Linked DNA regions of Arabidopsis thaliana. The protein of the gene in region 2 purifies or fractionates together with the protein of the main gene of each other region. This does not show direct contact. Each region holds a gene or a part of one and is shown on either strand. Other genes may lie near its edges. The genes, in order: CSY5, CSY2, EMB3127 and AT4G00600.

Region 1 (6,192 bases), 470 kb from region 2:
CTCTTGCACCACTGGACTGGCCATGACAAGGAAGACTAGGATATGTTCTAATAATATATTTCCTGTCCTAGCTAGAAACCTCTGCTCTCGGTTTCTAATAATTCTCGGTAACAGGATCCAGCGACTCCTCTGAAAGTTAGAGAAAACTTGTGAGGAAGAAGACTCAAAATCAATTTCGCATTTCTGGCTTTTTGTGATTACGAAGAGTCTTATACTTAGCCAAATATCTGAAGGTTTAGAAGAGAACACGTTGCATCTTACTGTTCACTGAAGATAGCAAATGTGTTTTGTAGAATCATCATAAAGCTTCGTAGGGAGCTTCTTAAGATAGGAGGAAGCTTCTGTTTGATCCCGAGGCTTTGAATTTCTTGACTCTGCTTCTGTTCACTTCAAACACTCTGTTTGAGCGGGACTGGTTGCATGAGTATTGTTTATTATGCGATAATTCACCAAAGACTAATCAATACATATCAATGGTCATCATTTGTCTATCAAAGTTGAGGAACAATAATATGGTGTCTCAATCTGAGAAAGACTGTTTCTTTACTTGTTTGACTTTATTGTTTTTGCAGAAGAACCAAAATGAAAACTCTGTAGAACAAAATTTCGACGAAAAATCGTTTTTTTTTTATCTCTAAAAGCTACCCAATCAAATGGAAGAGAAGGCTGAAGTGATAAAAGAGAGAACCTTGACCAACATCAGTCAGGGATTAACTTAGCGGTTCAAGCGCGTGAAGTTATCGAGCCAGTCCATGTTTACACTCTTTGGTCTCTCAAGTGGCAGTCCAAGTGCCCTGTCCCATATCAGCTGAAACAGAAAAGGAATAAAAGATTAGTCTGACTTTATTGTGAAGGATATGGCGATACGTACTAAAATCGAATTGTCGATGGCATGAATGTATGTATGTACCTGCGAGCAGATTCCAAGACTTCTTGAGACGCCAAAAAGCACCGTGTAGTATCTATATTTGAAAGGAATGTCACTCTATAATAACCAAGATTCAGCAAAACAAGGTCAAAGCCTCGATACACAAGTAGTTCCTACCTTGCTTCGGTTAGACCATAGTAGTTCAGAAGCACTCCGCTATGAGCATCAACGTTAGGCCACGGGTTCTTGACCTGATACAGCAATTTCAAGATTCATAAAACCAGAGAAAATCAGAAAATCTGGTAGCACATGAAATGAATGAGTATAAGTAGTACCTTTCCCAGCTCGGTTAGAATAGGAGGCACCACTTCATAAAGTTTTGAGACCTATAGACTTGCATAATTTGTGAGCCAGTAAAATTTTAAAGCATGACCAAAGATTTGAGGGGGAAAAAAAGTTACCAGCTGAAAAAGAGGATCATCAGGTAGATGCTTCAAGGCAAACTCTCTTTGGCATATATATCTTGGATCCGTTTTACGCAAAACACCATGGCCATATCCTGGAACAACCTGCAAGACAAATGTTTATTTAAGTTTCCTGACAACATTCACAGGCAAACCCCATAATCAAAACATAATCCGAAGCTTTTATTCATTATTTATACAATAATTCAAGTTATGGCCTGTCATGATTAGCATGCAATACATATGGATAGTTTCAAAAGGCAAAGCAGAGCATAATTTTGTCAACCTTGCCACTGTTTAACGTTTTCCAGACATAATCTTTTAGCTGTTCCTTTGATATACTTTCTCCACATTCCTCAACAACTAATTTGATCCACAGCAAAACTTCCTACAACAAGACAACGAAAAAAAACAGAGTAAGATTCCAAGTTTAAGCTTATAATTAAGAGTCAATCTTAGAGTTCAAGTTATATACACTTGTAGATTCGAACAATATAAGACTCATTAAGGATATAAATACCTGATTAGCCAAACCATGGAGTGGCCCAGCTAAACCATTCAATGCAGCAGCAAATGAAAGATATGGATCTGAAAGTGCACTCCCAACCTAAGTGAAGAAACATCATTAGCCAAAAACAGAACCATCAGAAATGTCTATAAGTTCAAAACATTATCATGCATCAAGATCATGTGGCAAATACATACCAGGTGACCAGCGTGAGCACTAACATTTCCACCTTCATGATCACTAAAACAGAAACCAGTAGACAAGGGAAAAAAAAACCTTGATCATGCTATAGAAATTTGGTAAGAGTTGGTAAAATAAAGGAAGATCATCATTATATACAAGAAAACTTTAGCTTATGTATTCTAATTAATGAGACATGTTGAAACGAAGAGAACCAGGACTAACCTGTGGATAGTGACATAAAGCCTCATGAGCTCTTTCATCTGAGGACTATCAAATCCCAGCATGTGTGAAAAATTTGCACCATAATCCAAAGAATCATCTAATGGAATGATGCTACCATCCTTGTACATCCTGCAATGTGAATTAGAATGGACATTGAAAAATAACACTCTGAAGAAAGGAAAATCTAAGAAAATTAACTAGTCCAGGAAGCTAAAAGCATTGGAAAAGATCCTAAAATTTAACCTCCGATAAACGTATGAAGCTACAACAGGAACACGAGCAATCAAGTTTAGGGCATCTTCGAAGGTTGGTTCCCAGTACCTGACAAGAAACCTCAGTTTCTATGATGCCTACTACTATAAGCCAATCAAGAAACAAAGTATAGAACTATTGAAAGTTTATACTTTGACTTAGAAATATCACCCTGCTCATACGCCTTTTGAAACTCACTTTGAACCTGAATAACAATCAACAAGATAAGATGCTCCTGAAAATAAACAAATTCTAAGAGAATGCATAGAAAAAAAAAATAGTACATAACAGAGCAATCCACCTGAAGGGCCATAACACCACTAGCAAATTGAGTCATTGGATGAGCTGTTGAAGGCAAAGCATCTATAGCTTTGTATATATAATCTGCAATGGAGAGTTGTTATATTTGCAACATCATAATATCCAGTTTATAATTATCATCAGCTTGTATTTTGCTAAGTTTTGATGAGTCATGAAACTGAGGTCATAAACAAACAGAGCCTAGAGGTGAACTACAAACCTGGCACAGCCGCACGATGAGCCAACTCTGTTGACAAAGCATTAGCTTGCTCTTTAGTTGGCACCTATACCGAAAGGAGGGAAAACTATACTTTAGATCATTCATATATAAAGTTGAAACTTATTGTATGTATAAAATGTTTTAAGATTATCACACCTTTCCAGTTAATAGAAGCCACAGAAGACTCTCAGGCAAGGGCTCTTCTCCAGACTCAGCTGAAGGTAATATTTTCTGACATTCAGGAATCGACATGCCTCTAAACCGTATTCCCTGATACAAAAGATAATATCATATGTTATATAATTCTAATTCAAGATCTGACCTGAAAATTATCTATGTGATCAAAATTATAACCATACCTCATCTGCATCAAGCAATGAGGTTTCCCAGAGTAATCCAGTCATCCCTCTCATTCCACCAAGTACCTTCACAAATACCACATGTAAAACTATATATACGAGTATGTTTAAAAGATAAAGCCTTTGTGTAATCACAAATATCATTAGAATCCGTACCATATCAACGGTGATGTTCCCCACTGGAACCTTTCCTTGTTCTGATTTCAGTTTCTTCAAACGGTCCTGAAAGTTGAAAGTTGTGTTTGTGTATGAGAAATGACATCAACTAAAACAGAGAGAAGAGCTTGATCTCTACATGAAATCTGCCCTAAAATTAGAAACAATCTCAATCACAACGAAGTAGAAACTAAACCTGTTGTTCTGGAATGATCTCTTGCATCTGCGACTTCAAGTCCTGCATTACCATCATTTTAAGCAACATCAACACAAAACCTAGAAGGTAAAATTCCAAATTTTTGGTTCTCAAACTGAACCGCATGATCACGAGAACATGAAAACCTAAGAAAGTACCAATTCAGAAGAGTGGAGCCATCTGACGGAGTTACTAAGTGAGGATTGTTGCACCTGTGCTTCTTATATTAGATCTGATCATCAAATTGTATCACATCAAACAAAACACAAAAAGGATGAAAGCTAAATCTACTCACTGCTCGAGACCGTAGTCTTGAAATGGCTGATACGCTGCGAAAAAACACCATTCTTTCAAACCTCACAACACTGATCGGTTACGAATCCAAACAATCAAGATTGGCTTAACCAGATAAGAGATAAAGGGAAAGAGAAAGCGTGGAGAAGAACTAACGGGAAATTCGAAAGTTTCTTCAACGTAGAGAGAAAAATTGAGAGATGTTGAGATATATCTGCAACGTGATGAACAAGCGTCAAATTACAACATATGTAAACCAAACACACGGATTCTTCTTACCAAACCGGTATAATGAACCAATTGATTACCATTTAGAAAACCAAACGAACAGGTTATGTTCGGGTTCGGTTGAGATTGGTTAGTTCCGTCGGTCCGTGAGACGCAAGATTCGAAGCAGCCGTAACGATTCTAATGCCTAAAAAAACGGTCATTAATAAATAAAGAACAAATGGTATGTAGCTTTTGCTGTTGCTAAATAAAAAAGTAGCTTCTTGGTAAAGTCCAAGGGTTTAGATAAAACATAATTTTATTTTGTTGGAAATAAATAAAGTAAAAATGACATTTCACAATTGAAAAAAAAAGTTATAAACTTCGTTATTATAATTTCTTGGTCGAATGGGCGGTTTGATATTCTTCATTCTCCATTAGTTATCAGAAATTTTTATATTCTTTTGAAATACTATTTAATGATGTAACACAACTATTAACAATGATGGATATAGCTATAGCTAGTTAATATTAAAACATTGGATATCATATTATATGACACTATTGATCGTTATGTCATCCAAAAAATAAACTGATATTTCAATGAATGAGATTGGAAAAATATGACATATATCCATTACAACTCATTATAATCATATTACCATATCATTTTAATGTTTATGAAATGTGAGTCCACCTTTCATAATCTAACGTTTTGAGAAGTTAAAATGTAATTTAGCCATAAAGTTTTGAAGGTATATATCAAGAACATCGCCAATAAAACAGAACTTTATTCATTTATATATTCAAATCGAAACTCTTTTAGAGTCATGTAAGAATCATTTATCATTATAGTATTTCGTTAATTCAGTTTAATGGAATTCATTTTTGTTTTATCAAACAATTTGTTGTAAGTAACATGACTTATATATGAATTAACAAACAAAATAATTTGACGAAAAAAAATGAACAATCTAAAAAATTCAATCACAATATCATTCTCGCTTTTCTATATATAAAACTTGCACACGCACGCGTGAGTACAACGTTACACCATTTTTAAGTAGAGTTTTCACATGATCGGAGATCAAAACACAAACTTACTTTTTCTTGGCAAAATCAGTCTACAAACTCATCACTACACTCTTTCTTGGTAAATTAAGTCAGTCTAACAAATTAAATCAAAGGGCACCCAAGCCCAAAAAATCCAAACATTTGTACATATATACAAGTTATGTATGTTCCTACCTATATAGATGATCATCGTCTCAACCTTGGTCTTGTCTTGACCCATGTCTTGTTATGCTCCATATCGAATAAATGATCAAATCATCATCAAAACCAACAGGACTTACGATTAGTAGAAACCCTACATATTAGGGTAAGGTGTGACCAAACTAATTATTGTTGTTGAAGATCAAACCATCGACTTGAGAATATGTTGTCGTCTTCATCAAGATCGATCAAACCGTCAAAATCAAAGTAAGTATTTGTGTTTGAACTTGATCCCCATTCTTCCTTCACCACGTGGCTCCCTATTATTCTGTTGTCCAGTTCAGCCGTATGTTCTTGGCCGGAATCTTGAGGCAAACCCGGTGGCGCAGGAAAATTTGTGTTGGTTATCTTTTTCTTAGAACCGGTTTTGGTGATCTCCGGTTTCCCGGTTAGACTTTGGACGAGTGTGCGGAAGTTCTTGACATCGGTGTTGATGATCTCGGGAGCAAATATATGGATGATACGGATCTTAGGCTTGATCTTGGTTATTATTTGGGAGTTCTTGTTCATGGGAACCAAAGTTTTTGAATAATCACCATAAAAGGTTTGATGAGGAAGATGATCTATATCGTACTCAGCCTTCATAGAATTTCTCACCATATAAACGTAAAAAGAAGATGAAGAAGCGAAGATTTTGGGTTTTTCTTTTTTGGATTTCAGGTTTCTTGTATTGTTTTGGGAAATGATA
Region 2 (6,022 bases):
AAACCAAGTGGCTGTTGTAGTTCAAAGTGATATATAGGCATGCATGGTTTTATAGTGGGGAAATTTGATAATTTCATTACGTAACACTTTTGTCTTAATACTTTTGTGGGTATGATTGGCGTGAATCTACAGTGTCTTCTTTGTCTTCAATCAGAGTTTTGTGGCTTTTAACCAATTTTAAGTATGTGTCTCTGCGACAGTTATGTATTGTTTTGGTTGCTTCTTACTTCTTTCTGTTAATCAGTGTCAGGTACTCCAGGGTTTGTTATTTAACGTCACTTTTCTTTTATATTTGTTCACACTTCTCACAATTGTTCTCATTTGAAATGGAAATATTATTGGCAATAATGCAAAATGATAGGAAACTTTCAGGCAAATTATAAATACCGTACAAAAAAATATGATATGATGTTCAATGAGTGGTTAGCTTATTGTTATCACTTGGAATCTGCATAACATATTCACCCTAAAAATAACATTCAGTTAATCCTAAATGATATGATTTGGTGGTTGACATTTTCCAAACCAATGTGTTAGACATGTCTTCAGAAATTAACATTAACAGGAATAAAAGCGCAATTTATCAAAAGTACATGTCGTTCCCTATAACAAGATTATTATTATTAAATCATAACATTTTAAAATAACAGACAAACAATAAGAATAGGGTTGTATTATTAAGTGTTTAAGAATAAGAGAAAGAAAACAACACATGTTGTTGAGAAGACTCTCTTGTTTTCCCAGAGGTATCCCAATGTTTTCTTCTTTATTGGTGAGTATTAGGATTGAGACTAAAGGGCAGATGATCCAGCTAAACGCCTTCTTGATGCATTCGAAATGGAAACTTGACCAAACTTATCCTTATCCGAATCACTTGATAACGTTCGTTCTCTCACTGGCTCGTAATGCCTCATCCACACTCCAGTATAGGCCTATATGCAGCCACACAATTCAGTTAGCTCAAACTATAAACCTTTTGATCTATCAAACAAGTTATGTATTTTACCTGTTGGGGTCTCATGATCCTAGTGTCAGGATCATCTAACGACTCACGCCAGTGTGACAAGTATCCAGCCATACGCGGGACTGCGAACAGGACTGTGAAGAATTCTGGTGGGAATCCCATTGCCCTGTGTTTTTCCCCCATTTCAATTACCAACACAAGGTTCAGGTAAAGAACTTAATGGTTACAGGGTCTATGTCAGATGAATCAGCAATGTCTTACCTATAGATTAATCCAGAGTAGAAATCAACATTTGGGTACAGCTTTCTCTTAACAAAATATTCATCAGACAGTGCCGCCTTCTCTAGAGCAACTGCTACCTGAAAACATCATCCGTCAAAACAAAATTTAACCCACAGTCATGTTATATAAGAATTTTTTTGACAACCAAATACTAGGAGAGATACGTGAGCACAAGGATCTACAGTACCTCGATGAGAGGATCCCTACCAACAATGGAGAACACTTCATCTGCCAGTTTTTTTATAACTTTTGCTCGGGGGTCATAGTTTTTGTAAACACGATGTCCAAAACCTGACATCTTCCTCTTTCTGAGAACATAGAAAAGGGATATAACATTACCGGCATGACTCACCACAATTCAGAGTACTTGGTGCTTGTAGTTATTAAGCATTGAGTTACCTGTTCTTCACGCCTTCAATGAAATCTGGAATATTTTCAGCAGTCCCAATCTCTGCTAACATCTTAAGCACGGCCTCGTTCGCGCCACCATGAAGTGGACCATAAAGCGCCCCAACAGCTCCAGCACATGCGGTGTACACATCAACACCACTGCAGAAACACAATACTGATTTAAACACTCAAAGAAGTCTAAATGAATATCTCTAATCAGTGATAACTGATAAGTACCTAGAGGCAAGATGCCGAGCAGCAGCAGTAGAGCAGTTCATTTCATGTTCAGCATGCAGTATGAAGAGGATGTCCAGCACTCGAGCCAAACGAGGATTAGGCTTGTAAGACCTATTGCCCCTGTAATCAATTGAAGATTAAAGAATGTATCCTGTGTTACAGACACGTTTGAAGCTTGAAACAGATTTAAACTGACTAAAGAAACACAGTTTTTCTGACTACCCTTTTAAAATGCAAGTGTTAAATCAAATAAAGACAGAAGAAAGAGGGGAAAGTACATTGAATCCAGCATATAGAGGAAATTCTCTGAATAAGAAAGGTTGGCCGAAGGAAGAACAGGAGGCCTGCCTGCCGTCCTCAAATAAGCAGCTGCTGCAATTGTTGGTGCCTGCAAACACGTTGTAAACCCTTTTTCTAGTCCCGCAACTTATACACAGATACGTTAAGGAAACAAATCATCAACAGATAGAACAATACCTTTCCGAGAATGCGAACAATCTGTTTATCACGAACTTGTTTTGACTTGTAAATGTCTTGGCCCTGCACCCAATGAAAGAAAATCGAGTTGGCATAGCCATTTTCAGAAAAAGGCATCTTGACAGTACGAAAAGAACAGGATTTCAAAACTTACACTAAGAGCAGGATTTGCATCAGGGTGAAAGATAGAAAGTGCACTCATGGCACTCACAAGAACTCCCATTGGGTGTGCATCATGAGGCATGGACTGTATGATATCCTGCAAAAACATTCAGAAATCGTCTCAGATCAAAAATCCATAGAAAATTCTTTTACTAAGCATATACACATAACTATATTCACAACGGCGAGTAAGACATAAGGTACTAATACTAGAAAGAGATCCAGTATCCTTAATAGACATGGTTTACAAGCAAGACAAACAACTTGTACACTTGACAAGAAATCATTTTCAAAATCCCTCTTTGGTTTGGATTTGCATTCTGATACAAAGTTTGGAATTTGCACTAGTATGAAAATCCAAATAACGAAAGAGTAGAAATTTCACCAATACTCCTTGTGGCACAGCTGAATGCTGAGAAACAGTGAACTCCCAATCAGCTAGCTGACTTTGAGAAGGCAGATTTCCATACACTGGAGACAAAAAAAGGGGAATTTTAACACGACACTAAGAGAGACACAATTTTCAAGACATTTTCTTTTCCACAAGTAGACGCCACAAAAGTAAAATAAGCAACAACAACAACAAGAATAAGCAACGAGATTGATAAAGACTTACTGAGGAGATAAGCAACCTCAATAAAAGTACTGCTCTCAGCCAACTCTTCAATTGGGTATCCCCGATAACGTAAGATTCCTTCATCTCCGTCGATGTAACAAATCGAAGATCGAACCGGAGCCGTGTTCAAGTAACCAGGATCGTACAACTTCAGCCCCTTATCATCCTTCCCCGTCGTTATCTGCACACCAAACATGCAAATCCATCAAATTCCTTATCATATTCAGGGAAAATTAGGTGAGACGAATCAAAATTCAGATAAAACTAACTCGATTCCACAATTCTGTTCAGGATTACAAATCCGTTACATACCTTCTTGAGATCAACGGCTTTAACGGTACCATGCTCTGAGACAGGGACCTGATATTTCTTCCCCGTACGCTCATCGACGATCGTCAAGTTTCCTTTGAGTGATCCATGAGGTGCAGCGGTAATGTGAGCCGATGTACACCATGGCGCGATCGCCGGCAACACCTGTTCCAATCCGACGGTATCAGACACCGCCAAATGCGCGGTGAGAACGGCTAATCTAGCTTTCACTCTCTGCGAAATCTCCATTTCTTCCTCTCAAAAAATTTTAAAAAAAATATCTGAATTCAATTTCAAAGGAAGGAAGCGAAGAAGAAGAAGAAGAAACAATCTTGCGGTAAGTGACTTGGCTTTTGTATCCTGCATTTGCTAATTTTGGTAGTAGCTGATATTTTTATTCTCTGCGGGTAAGTGTATTGAAAATCGGATCCATTGTTTATCCAAAGCTCGACGGTGATAAGATTATTCAGCTTAGATCAACGGATAGAATTGTTCGTCAAAAACTAATATGGAAAGTCTAAAGAGGCTTATCTGTCAAGTTTATCAAAGGATTAAGACTTTCGTTTCTGAAATCCACCCGGGCAAGGGCAGTGAAGACTACGCGCTCAATGAGAATGACAGGTGGAAGAACACGAGCGAGTGTCTTTCAGACGCTATGTAGATCGAGTAGAAGTCGATTGGCGTCCTCGGATTGCTAAATAACTATCTGGTTTTCGATAATGGGCCAACTCATTGGTCTCACATTGAGAAATTTAATTTCCCTAAGTGTATTGATCGGCCCATTAGCTCTTTACGCCTGGGCTGATGACAATAGTAATAAGAACAAGGGAAATGGTCCAATATCTTTGCAGTTAAAATTTATGAACATATGGAAATTTTATATTTGTAGCACAAAGATTCACCAGTAAGAGGCTGGTAATACACTGCATTGGGTCACAACGGGCCGGTCCATTAAACCCAATTAACTCTTATGTATGAGAAGGAACTTAAAACCCCATTCAGTTTTTGATGGACTTGTGAACGCTGCTACTAAACCAAGGTCACTTCTCAGTTCTCACAACACATATGTTATGTTTGCAAATTAAATGCAGTTTTATAATTTTTAGTATTTAACTGACTATCCCAAATTATTTTCAAAATATCTTTGAAATTTAAAAAGTGATTCAATTATGAAACCTCCACTCACACTTTTGTACCATCCTTTGCTTTTGCACTAATCAAATTTATTTGTTTGTTCAGTTAAATTGTTCAAAAAAGGAGAAAGTTATGTCCAACAAAAAAGAGAGAAAAAAATGCAATTAGCCTTTTAATAAAAAAAGGAGTAGTAATTACAAAAAAAAATGAAGTACTGTAGATTATGATGAGTAGGGAGGAGGAAAACGAGTATGATACTTCACCCGCATTAAGAGGCAAACCCTTAAAGCCTGCTGATTGGTTGGGACTTTTTTTTCTACTTTTCTTTTTCTTTTCTGTTGCTGCCGTTACAGTTCCATTTACAGCTCATATTGCTTGCGGCAGAAAATTCTCACCAAGTCCTCTGTTGAACATGACGATTAAGCCTAAATCGCCGGCGAGATTCAAGCTAGGTAGGCAGTCTTCGCTTGCGCCGGAATCAAGAACCCCGATTGATACGTTAACGGAAGATGAGGACGACGACTTGGCTGCGGCGGCTACAGCTGGGATCGGGGATCCGACGATTCGTTTAATGTATTTAGCCAACGAAGGTGATATCGATGGCATCAATAAGATGCTTGATTCGGGTACTAATGTTGATTACCGTGACATCGATGCCCGTACTGCTCTTCACGTCGCCGCTTGTCAAGGACGAACCGATGTCGTTGAGCTGCTGCTTAGCCGTGGTGCTAAGGTTGATACGAAGGACCGATGGGGTAGTACGGTATGAATTCGAACTTTCTCTGGGCTGAATTTTGTTTGCTTTGCCTGACTTGACTTCTCGTAGACTCTTTAGTTCGTTTTGTGTTCGACGAATTGCCGCACAAATCATATGTTTTACTGGAGCACTTAGATTTAGCAAACTCGGTTGCAATAACAGTGATGGTTAACAATTTGTGATTGATCTTACCAGCCTCTTGCAGATGCAGTGTATTACAAAAATCATGATGTGATTAAACTTTTGGAGAAACATGGTGCTAAGCCTACGGTATGTGTTTATCCCTCATAGTTGCATTGATGGATGTTTTAGTTTCTGAATGTTTGGATTGATTTCTTTAATAATCGTTTCTGATTTTAGATTGCTCCTATGCATGTCCTAACTGATAAAGAAGTTCCAGAGTACGAGATTCATCCTACAGAGCTTGATTTTTCCAACTCTGTCAAAATTTCAAAGGTAAGTAGTTCCCTTGCCCAAATTTATTTGTTGCTGTTTTCACTTGCTTTTATTTGCTGTTCACAGTTGTAATTACTGTCTGTCTGCTTTACAGGGTACCTTTAACAAGGCTTCATGGCGTGGAATTGACGTGGCTGTTAAAACCTTTGGAGAGGAAATGTTCACTGATGAAGACAAAGTGTGAGTCTACATCCATTGATTTCTTTGTATTATTGTATTAATCATGCTCTAAAGGTTT
Region 3 (4,830 bases), on a different chromosome or scaffold from region 2:
GGATTACTGCTAAACCAGGACTGATTAGTTTCTCCATTCTTGAAGTTTCGACTCTGATCTCCTGCATGATACTTAGTTCCACAGCCGTTTGATCAAATACCATCGCCTCATCAGCTGAACAGAAAAGTAAAATCTTAAGAGTTGGATATCTGAAAATACGTAAGCAATTGGATGAAAAGGTTTAGTCTATACAAGAGGAGCGAATGGAGAGAATGTGGCCACGTCCGGGCACAGTGGTATAAGAGGAGCGCATGCGGCCACGTCCGGGCGCAGTGGTGGGAAAGCTTGAGTTGGCTGACGCACCAGCGGGGCAGGAAAGCACCGTTGAGGCGGTTCAAATCGATGAGACGCGAGGTCGTGGAGAAGGAGCAATCGGTTAACATCAACGACGCCATTATTTTACTAGGAAAACAGAACAGTGGTCGTGGCTTCGAGCTCAAGTTAGGGTTTAACAAAAGTAATGTAGAACAAGTGACTGTGTTTTCTTGTTTCAAATTAACCTTCGTTGAAAGGTAGTTATAAATAAAGTATAATGACGAAGAGACCGATGGGTGAGGCTGGGATATATCATAGCTGGGATAAGTTAAAACTAGTTCTGACTCAAAATACCAAGAAGAGACAAACAATGTTGAAGACAATTTATGTGACTTAAAAACTACATGTTTTGTTTCATAGAACAAAACGATAACTTTCTTTAAAGACCAAAGTAAATCATTGGCTTCAAAAAACAGAGTACGATTTGTTTGTTTCCCAAAAGGCCAGCAATCTTCTTTTTAAGTGACGTCACTGGAAGTTGTGAATCCTCTTAGCTGATGTTAAAGTGTTGGATAGAAGCATGGCTATGGTCATTGGTCCTACACCGCCAGGAACAGGTGTGATGGCTGATGCAACTTTGCTAGCCTCCTCGTAGCAAATGTCTCCAACCAATCGATATCCACGCGCAGCACTTGGATCCTGCAATTCATATTATGTACATGTATGAATGTTGCATACTGGTTGATTTGAAACTTATTATATCACTGAATTACGCCATGACCATATGTCAAAAAGAAAATTCCACTCACCTCAACAGGATTAATCCCAACATCGATGAGGACTGCGCCCGGTTTTATCCAGCTTCCTCTGACCATGTTTGGCTGTCCAACAGCTGAGATTATAATATCAGCTTCTCTTGTGATTTCTTCAGGGTTCTTGGTTCTTGAATGGATAATGCTAACGGTTGCATCCTCCCTCTACAAATACAAAACACAACAATAAAGACCAAACATGTAACTAACTTTCGAATGTCACAACCAGAAAAAACGGCATCTTAAAGAAGGTATCATCATCATTACCTGCAGTAAAAGAGCAGCTGGCATACCGACAATGTTACTCCTTCCGATAACAACCGCTCTCTTTCCTTTGATTTCAATGTTGTATCTATGCAACAACTCAATGCATCCTTTTGGAGTACAAGGAACGAATAAGGGTTCTCTTCCACGCATGGCAAGCCGTCCAATATTTAGCGGATGAAATCCGTCAACATCTTTCTCTATACTAACCGCATTCAGTATGTTCTGTTCATCCATATGCTGCAACAACATCCCAAAACACTATTGTAATTCACTGTTTATTTAAGTTCCGAAGAAAGTTATTAGACTTTGTTTACCGATGGCAGAGGCAACTGAACAAGGATTCCATGGACAGAAGGATCATCATTGAATCCTGATACAGATTTCAACACCTCTTCTTCTGATGAATCTTCAGCTAGACGAACTTCGAACGATTTGATTCCAACGGAGTCACAAGCTTTCTTCTTGTTCCTCACATAAGTTGCAGAATCTTTTCTGTCACCAACAAGGATTACTGCTAAACCAGGAATCACACCAATTGATTCCTTCATTCTTGAAACTTCAATTGTGATTTCATCTCTAATCTTTTTTGCCACAGCCTTTCCATCTATTACAATTGCGCCACCCTCTGATTTTGTATCAGCTGTACCAAAAAAAAAAAAAAAAATTTATGATTCCAACATGAGAATAAAGAAACTCAATTTTCCAGGGAAGAACAGTCTAATTGTCTACAAATTTCAATCGATGTCAAGTTCAAATTTGGTGCTCAATTAAGTCAAAAGGTTTAATCATTACCGGAAATGGAAGAAATGGGAGAAGAAGAGGAGCGAATGCAGCAGCCACGGCCAGAAGCAGTGGTCTGTAAACGGAGTTGGCCGACGCATTGACGGAGGAGGAAAGTACCGCTGCTTCGGTTCAAATGGATGAGACGCGACGTCGTGGTGGAGGAGCAATCGGTAAACATCATCGACGCCATTTTTATACAAGGAAAACAGAACAATAGTCTGCTCGTCGTGGCTGAGTTAAAAAGGAAGAAGGTAATGGTGGAGACAGGAAGACTAATGAAGTCTTTTAATTTGTGATCTAGAGCAAAGCAGAGCAGAGAAGAGACGATGAATTGAAGAAGATAACTTCGTCGTCTACGGAGAGTCGGAGAGACTAGGGTTTCTTCTTTTGATATCAACAAGGGTTTAAGTTCATTCAAATCACAAAAGAAACCGGTTTGTTGATTTCACCTGAATTTTCCGGTTTTATTATACCAGTCTTTCGTTTTCTTTTCTTTTTTAATAAATCCAATCGGACCGCTTCATATTTTTAGTAGCTTTTTAATTTGATTAGTCGTCTTAAACTCAGATTAATCATGTAATTAACACTGATCAATATATAAACAATACATGTAAGTTCGTTGACTTACGGTCTATTCTCTATTTGCGGTCTAAAGTACCACACTAGATATATATACCCTTGTGATTTAACTCGAGAGCTCCAACAATCAAAGCTAAATGTACTACAAGTGGTATCAGAGCAAGTCATGTTATTGCGATTGCCAAGATTGTTGAAGGGTGAAGCAAAGGTAGAAAGTACAGACAAATAGTGTCGGATAAATGAGGGATAGATTCACATATTAGACCCAATATGTTGAATACAAATATTATTTGCCTTTGTTTTTCCCCCAGAGGAAAGAAACTAGAGAAATTTCAACACATCATCATCCCATCAAAATTTTGAGAGTTTGTTACTTTTTCTCCGCTAAGATTCTTCAAAATAAGGATTTTGGTTTCTGTACAGTTTTAAGCAAAAGAAGTTGAAATTGTGTGGTCTTACCAGAAGCGAGAAAAAAGGTTAGATAGCGAGTGTGCCTTCAATAATCTGGTTATCGTCAGATGTTTCAGATGGTGATGGTGGTTTTGGTTTGCTCGTACTTCTTGAGAACCCGTAACCTAGAGAGCTTCCACTTGCCTCACATAGCTGTACCATCATAGGATCCATTAAACCGGAGAGTAAGAAGAATTGTAGTTTTTTAAATAGACCAAATATATACCTCAGCTAGTTCAGACAAGTGACGAGATCTGAACTCGTTGATCGTTGTTGCTATTTCTGATGTAGGTAATTTGGCCTGAAAAAGAAGCCGACAAGTTTAACAAATACCCCAAATAACATTGTTGGTGACTTAATGACTACAAGAATTATCTCTTGTACCTGTGCAAGAACAGCAGCTGCTAACTGAAGACTTGGTTCCAGCGTCTCAGGAACAACCTAACGAGTTTTTGTATCGAGATTTTAATCAGTTTACTTTGAAAATGTTGTGCAATGACAGAAGGAGAATAGAAAAGTTGTGGAAGTTATTACAGCGGTAGCGCCGGCTTTTTCAAGATTGAGACCATGATCAACGTCATGTGCACGGACAAAGGTTTTGACATTGGGGAAATATTTGCTAAGAGCCCAGACACACCTGTAATTTGCTCCAGGTGTGTCTAAAGCAATAGCCGCAGCACATGCTCTATCTGCCCCGATTTTGTGGAGTACCTGCACGTATAGGTAAAACAACGTCAATAATTTTGGATGATGTGTGGTTATACTTTTGACTTGTTTCATCAGCTTTCTACTCTTACCTCTCTACTACCAGCGTCTCCAAAATAAACTGGAAGATCTAGGGAACGACCAATTGCTACTCTATCACTGTAAAATAAGAGATTTTTGGTGCGAAATGAGACAAATAAAGAGCTGGTTAGATACATTGAGCAAGACAAGGCAAGCATGTTACATTACCTGCTGACATCGAGGGCAACAAATGGGATAAGTCTTTCAGAAAGAAGCTGAGCGATTATCTGCGTTTAACATTTAGAAAGCAGCGGTCAAAGACGAATTTAATCATATATCACCAAACTATTCTCTAAATCAAACTATCTAAACTTCTAGAGGAGTTTGTTTTCGCAACAAAGTTTATAGATAACGATACCAACCTGCCCAATTCGTCCAAATCCGCAAATAATGATGTGACCCTGTAAATCATCCGTCTGCAAGTAAATTCAGAAAGTAAAGGATCAGTCATTTTTACCCCAAGAATGCATGAGCTTCGGAAGGATATTGAGGTCAATCATGGCTTTATTGTTTTAAATTTACAATTGAAACTAGGAATGGTGATAAATGACTTATTTTAAAGTGTTGTGAAGGAGTACCTCGCTTTCAACTGGTAATAAACTTCGAACATCTTGTAACTCAAATCGAGACGCAATTAATTGGCCGCCAGCAGCTAACCAAGGAGTAAGAGCCATTGATATTCCCACGACGAGAAACAGTAATGAAGATAGCTGCGGAGTCATTATACCCTGGAAGAAATACCAATCAAGCCTTAGAGGAAACATGGGAATAAAGTAGAACTGAAACCTCAGCTGTCATATCCATAAAACATGACAATATCGTTTTCTAGTTTTCATTTAAATGACTAATTGTAAACTAATAGAACTGCTTGCATCATGATGTGAGCCTAACTTTCCAA
Region 4 (3,409 bases), on a different chromosome or scaffold from region 2:
GACAGATTTCGATTCTCAGGACGAGGAGACAGATGAGTGAGGCTGGGGTAGACCATTTTGAAGCCCGGATTGATCTCCGCCCAACCTGTTGCTGATTAATTTCTGAAGTTTTGGTATTTTGTGGAGAAAAGTTTCAGAATCTGTAACATAGGAGTCATGGGACACACCAAAATGACTTCCAACATCAATCGTAATGACTTCATCCTTAAGCTATCTTCCAAGACTTACATTACGTTAAAAGATACATTTGATAAAGCAAAAATGCTTTTGCCAATCACCACAGTTGCTTCATGGTAGTTCTACTCCCAAAATGAACAAAAGCTCACACACAAACTTATAAAGATCCAAATAATTATCTAGCAAAGCCGCAAGATAATCAGGGAACTCACAATCTGGATAAGGTAACCTCTAAAATCAAAGAACAAGAACCGAAATAATATTATTTCTGACTTAACGCTAAGCAAAAATCATTGGCTTCAAAAAACCAAAGTAAGATTTGTTTATTTAAAAAAAGGCGAGCAATCATCTTTGAAGTCACTGGAAGTTGTGAATTCTCTTGGCTGATGTTAAAGTGTTGGATAGAAGCATGGCTATGGTCATTGGTCCTACATCACCAGGAACAGGTGTGATGGCTGATGCAATTTTGCTAGCCTCCACATAGCAAATGTCTCCAACCAACCGCTCTCCACCGGCAGCACTTGGATCCTGCAATTCATATTACTTTCACATACTGTATTTGATTTGATCATTCATTATACTACCATATGTCAAAAAATTCCACTCACCTCAACAGGTTTAATCCCAACATCGATGAGGACTGCACCCGGTTTTATCCAGCTTCCTCTGACCATGTTTGGTTTCCCAACAGCTGAGATTAGGATATCAGCTTGTCTTGTGAGTTCTTCAGGGTTCATGGTTCTTGAATGGATAATGCTAACGGTTGCATCCTCCTTCTACATTTAGAAAATAAACATCGATAAAGAATGTTGTCCTAACCAGAAAAAATGGCATATTGAAGAAGGAATCATCATTACCTGCAGCAACAGAGCAGCTGGCATACCAACAATGTTACTCCTTCCAATAACAACTGCTCTTTTGCCTTTGAATTCAATGTTGTATCTGTGCAACAACTCGATGCATCCTTTTGGAGTACATGGAACGAATAAAGGTTCTCTACCACGCATGGCAAGCCGTCCAATATTTAGCGGGTGAAATCCATCAACGTCCTTCTCTATACTAACCGCATTCAATATGTTCTGTTCATCCATATGCTGCATATACACGACATCCCAAAACACCGTTGTAATTTACTGTTTATTTTAAGTTATGATGAAGAATATGAAGATAGACTTTGTTTACCGATGGTAGAGGCAACTGAACAAGGACTCCGTGAACAGAAGGATCATCATTGAATCCTGATACATATTTCAACACCTCTTCTTCTGATGAATCTTCAGCTAGACGAACTTGGACTGATTTAATTCCGACGGATTCACAAGCTATTTTCTTGTTCCTCACGTAAGTAGCGGATTCCTTGTTCTTTTCCAACAAGGATTACTGCTAAACCAGGAACCACACCGATTGATTCCTTCATTCTTGAAACTTCGATTTTGATATCATCTCTAATCTTTTTGGCCTCAGCCTTTCCATCAATTACAATCGCAGATGGAGAAGAAGAGGAGCGAATGGAGAGAGTGCAGCGCCAAGTAGACGCAGTTGTCCGTAAGCTGAATTGGCTGACGCTCGGGCGGGGGAGGAAAACACCATTGCGGTTGTATAAATGGATGAGACGCGACGTTGTGGAGGAGGAGCAATCAGTAAACATCATCGACGCCATTTGTTTACTAGGCAAACAGAAGAAAACAAAGTAGATTGTTTCTAAGTTAACGTGTGTGTAAAGGTAGATATAGAAGATATGTACTTATCTTAAATCCATTAGGAATTATCTCCTAGAATCATTATTAGTTTATATCATATCATAATTATCTAACGATTTCATGTCTGTAGTAACAAAGGAAGAAGACTAAGATGCAAACAAAAAACCACCTATTTTTGTTATCCAAAAAAACATCTTTAACATAAAACATATGAATAAACGAGAAAGCCATAAAGGTTCCAACACAAAACCAAAAAGAAAAACATAGGCAAATGCATCTCTAAACAGATAAAGACTAAACATATTTAGCCATCAAAGATCTCATCTCATGCACAACGTCAATCTTCTGCCACGTCGTTTTGAGCTCATCAGCTTGCATGGACTTCACCTTTTCTTCTATCCTCTTCCTCTTCTTCACCGGTACCAAACTCCAATTCTTCTTCCATGTCTCTTCATCAACCCCCGGACCCAATTCTTTAAACGCACCATCAACAAACGACCTCTCGAACCAATCACTTTCTTCATCAACCTTAAGCTTCTTCTTCTTTGGCTTCACAAGAGCAGTAGCATCACCATCACTTACCCAAATTATCTCAGCCAATTCGTAACACTTCTTATCATGCTCTGTAGTAGTTTTCTTGTTCTCAATATACTTTCTCTTCATAGACCGGATTTTGTTAACGAACTGATCAGTCTTCACCTCAAAGCTAATCGAATCTTTAAGTTTTTCGAAAAAGCCATTCATGTCCTCGGAAACATTCTTACCTGTATCCTTAGCAAATTTGATCATTCCTTGAAGAAAGACGATCTCGTCTTCATCAGTCCACAATCTCTGAAACAACAGTGGCTTCTTCCCCGTCTCTGTTTCAGTCTTGGCTCGTTCCTCCTCTGGTTTTCCTTCACTTTGTCTCTTCTCATTCGAAGAAGAAGGAGCAGCAGCAGCAAGAGTCATCGGCTCAGCTTCAGTGTCAGACTCACTCTCCGATCCCGACTCTGAATCGCTGGAAGGCTCATCTTCCTCCTCCTCCTCAGATGAAGTTGATGCGACGGCTTCCAACGGCTTCTTGACCGGAGATGTGACACCCGACGGTTTCTTCGCTGGAGATGCGACTCCCGACAGTTTCTTTGACGTAGATGCGACGTCAGATGACTTCTTCACCGTTGATGGAGTAACCAAAGTCTTGTTCTTGGCCATCGGAGAGAAACGAGAGAGAAATTTGGTAGGGTTTTTAAATAAAAAATTGAGAAGTTGGTCAGTTTTAAGGTTTTGCACCGAAACCATATATTGCATTTGGTTCTTTCCTTAATTACAAGTATCATAAATCTTTGACCAATTTTACGGGGTTTATGGTGTACATCTAAAATTCAAAAAGTAAATGTTAATAAATCTAATTTTGGTAACTGAATTTCCGATTGGTATTTTTAGTATATTAAAAAAATTAAAACTAAATGCTAACTAATCGAGTAATCTTTCTTTAATTGTTTAATGAGATCAATGATTCAGTTAATCAGTAATTACTAATCGAGTAATAT

What was found.
Region 1: the proteins of CSY2 (region 2) and CSY5 fractionate together in Arabidopsis thaliana (co-fractionation; one large-scale study listed by BioGRID). This does not show direct contact.
Region 3: the proteins of CSY2 (region 2) and EMB3127 fractionate together in Arabidopsis thaliana (co-fractionation; one large-scale study listed by BioGRID). This does not show direct contact.
Region 4: the proteins of CSY2 (region 2) and AT4G00600 fractionate together in Arabidopsis thaliana (co-fractionation; one large-scale study listed by BioGRID). This does not show direct contact.

What each region holds. Positions count from the first base shown.
Region 1 is NC_003074.8:22,190,770-22,196,961, reverse strand, and holds CSY5 (citrate synthase 5), read right to left. Parts: upstream 4,233-6,192; 5' UTR 4,075-4,232; coding exon 4,024-4,074; intron 3,941-4,023; coding exon 3,887-3,940; intron 3,771-3,886; coding exon 3,729-3,770; intron 3,599-3,728; coding exon 3,533-3,598; intron 3,443-3,532; coding exon 3,377-3,442; intron 3,288-3,376; coding exon 3,174-3,287; intron 3,082-3,173; coding exon 3,018-3,081; intron 2,882-3,017; coding exon 2,799-2,881; intron 2,703-2,798; coding exon 2,650-2,702; intron 2,567-2,649; coding exon 2,489-2,566; intron 2,375-2,488; coding exon 2,246-2,374; intron 2,081-2,245; coding exon 2,038-2,080; intron 1,940-2,037; coding exon 1,853-1,939; intron 1,721-1,852; coding exon 1,619-1,720; intron 1,438-1,618; coding exon 1,330-1,437; intron 1,255-1,329; coding exon 1,204-1,254; intron 1,120-1,203; coding exon 1,046-1,119; intron 963-1,045; coding exon 911-962; intron 809-910; coding exon 716-808; 3' UTR 515-715; and 1 more. Other genes in the region: AT3G60090 (VQ motif-containing protein), read right to left, coding at 5,631-6,104.
Region 2 is NC_003074.8:21,723,773-21,729,794, forward strand, and holds CSY2 (citrate synthase 2), read right to left. Parts: upstream 4,366-6,022; 5' UTR 3,687-4,365; coding exon 3,441-3,686; intron 3,310-3,440; coding exon 3,129-3,309; intron 2,984-3,128; coding exon 2,898-2,983; intron 2,610-2,897; coding exon 2,505-2,609; intron 2,414-2,504; coding exon 2,351-2,413; intron 2,262-2,350; coding exon 2,152-2,261; intron 1,994-2,151; coding exon 1,874-1,993; intron 1,796-1,873; coding exon 1,646-1,795; intron 1,555-1,645; coding exon 1,434-1,554; intron 1,324-1,433; coding exon 1,226-1,323; intron 1,131-1,225; coding exon 1,007-1,130; intron 933-1,006; coding exon 792-932; 3' UTR 534-791; downstream 1-533. Other genes in the region: AT3G58760 (Integrin-linked protein kinase family), read left to right, coding at 4,795-5,334, 5,524-5,598, 5,689-5,784, 5,879-5,964. UniProt on the Arabidopsis thaliana protein: Peroxisomal citrate synthase required for the fatty acid respiration in seedlings, citrate being exported from peroxisomes into mitochondria during respiration of triacylglycerol (TAG).
Region 3 is NC_003075.7:258,482-263,311, forward strand, and holds EMB3127 (Amino acid dehydrogenase family protein), read right to left. Parts: upstream 2,809-4,830; 5' UTR 2,308-2,808; coding exon 2,127-2,307; intron 1,975-2,126; coding exon 1,649-1,974; intron 1,572-1,648; coding exon 1,335-1,571; intron 1,233-1,334; coding exon 1,065-1,232; intron 955-1,064; coding exon 784-954; 3' UTR 506-783; downstream 1-505. Other genes in the region: KEA2 (K+ efflux antiporter 2), read right to left, coding at 3,174-3,299, 3,373-3,447, 3,531-3,587, 3,681-3,857, 3,944-4,010, 4,101-4,159, 4,295-4,348, 4,511-4,660. UniProt on the Arabidopsis thaliana protein: Catalyzes the oxidation of 5,10-methylenetetrahydrofolate to 5,10-methenyltetrahydrofolate and then the hydrolysis of 5,10-methenyltetrahydrofolate to 10-formyltetrahydrofolate.
Region 4 is NC_003075.7:254,786-258,194, forward strand, and holds AT4G00600 (Amino acid dehydrogenase family protein), read right to left. Parts: upstream 1,826-3,409; coding exon 1,567-1,825; intron 1,458-1,566; coding exon 1,360-1,457; intron 1,272-1,359; coding exon 1,035-1,271; intron 954-1,034; coding exon 786-953; intron 706-785; coding exon 535-705; downstream 1-534. Other genes in the region: AT4G00590 (N-terminal nucleophile aminohydrolases (Ntn hydrolases) superfamily protein), read left to right, coding at 6-95; AT4G00610 (DNA-binding storekeeper protein-related transcriptional regulator), read right to left, coding at 2,172-3,158. UniProt on the Arabidopsis thaliana protein: Catalyzes the oxidation of 5,10-methylenetetrahydrofolate to 5,10-methenyltetrahydrofolate and then the hydrolysis of 5,10-methenyltetrahydrofolate to 10-formyltetrahydrofolate.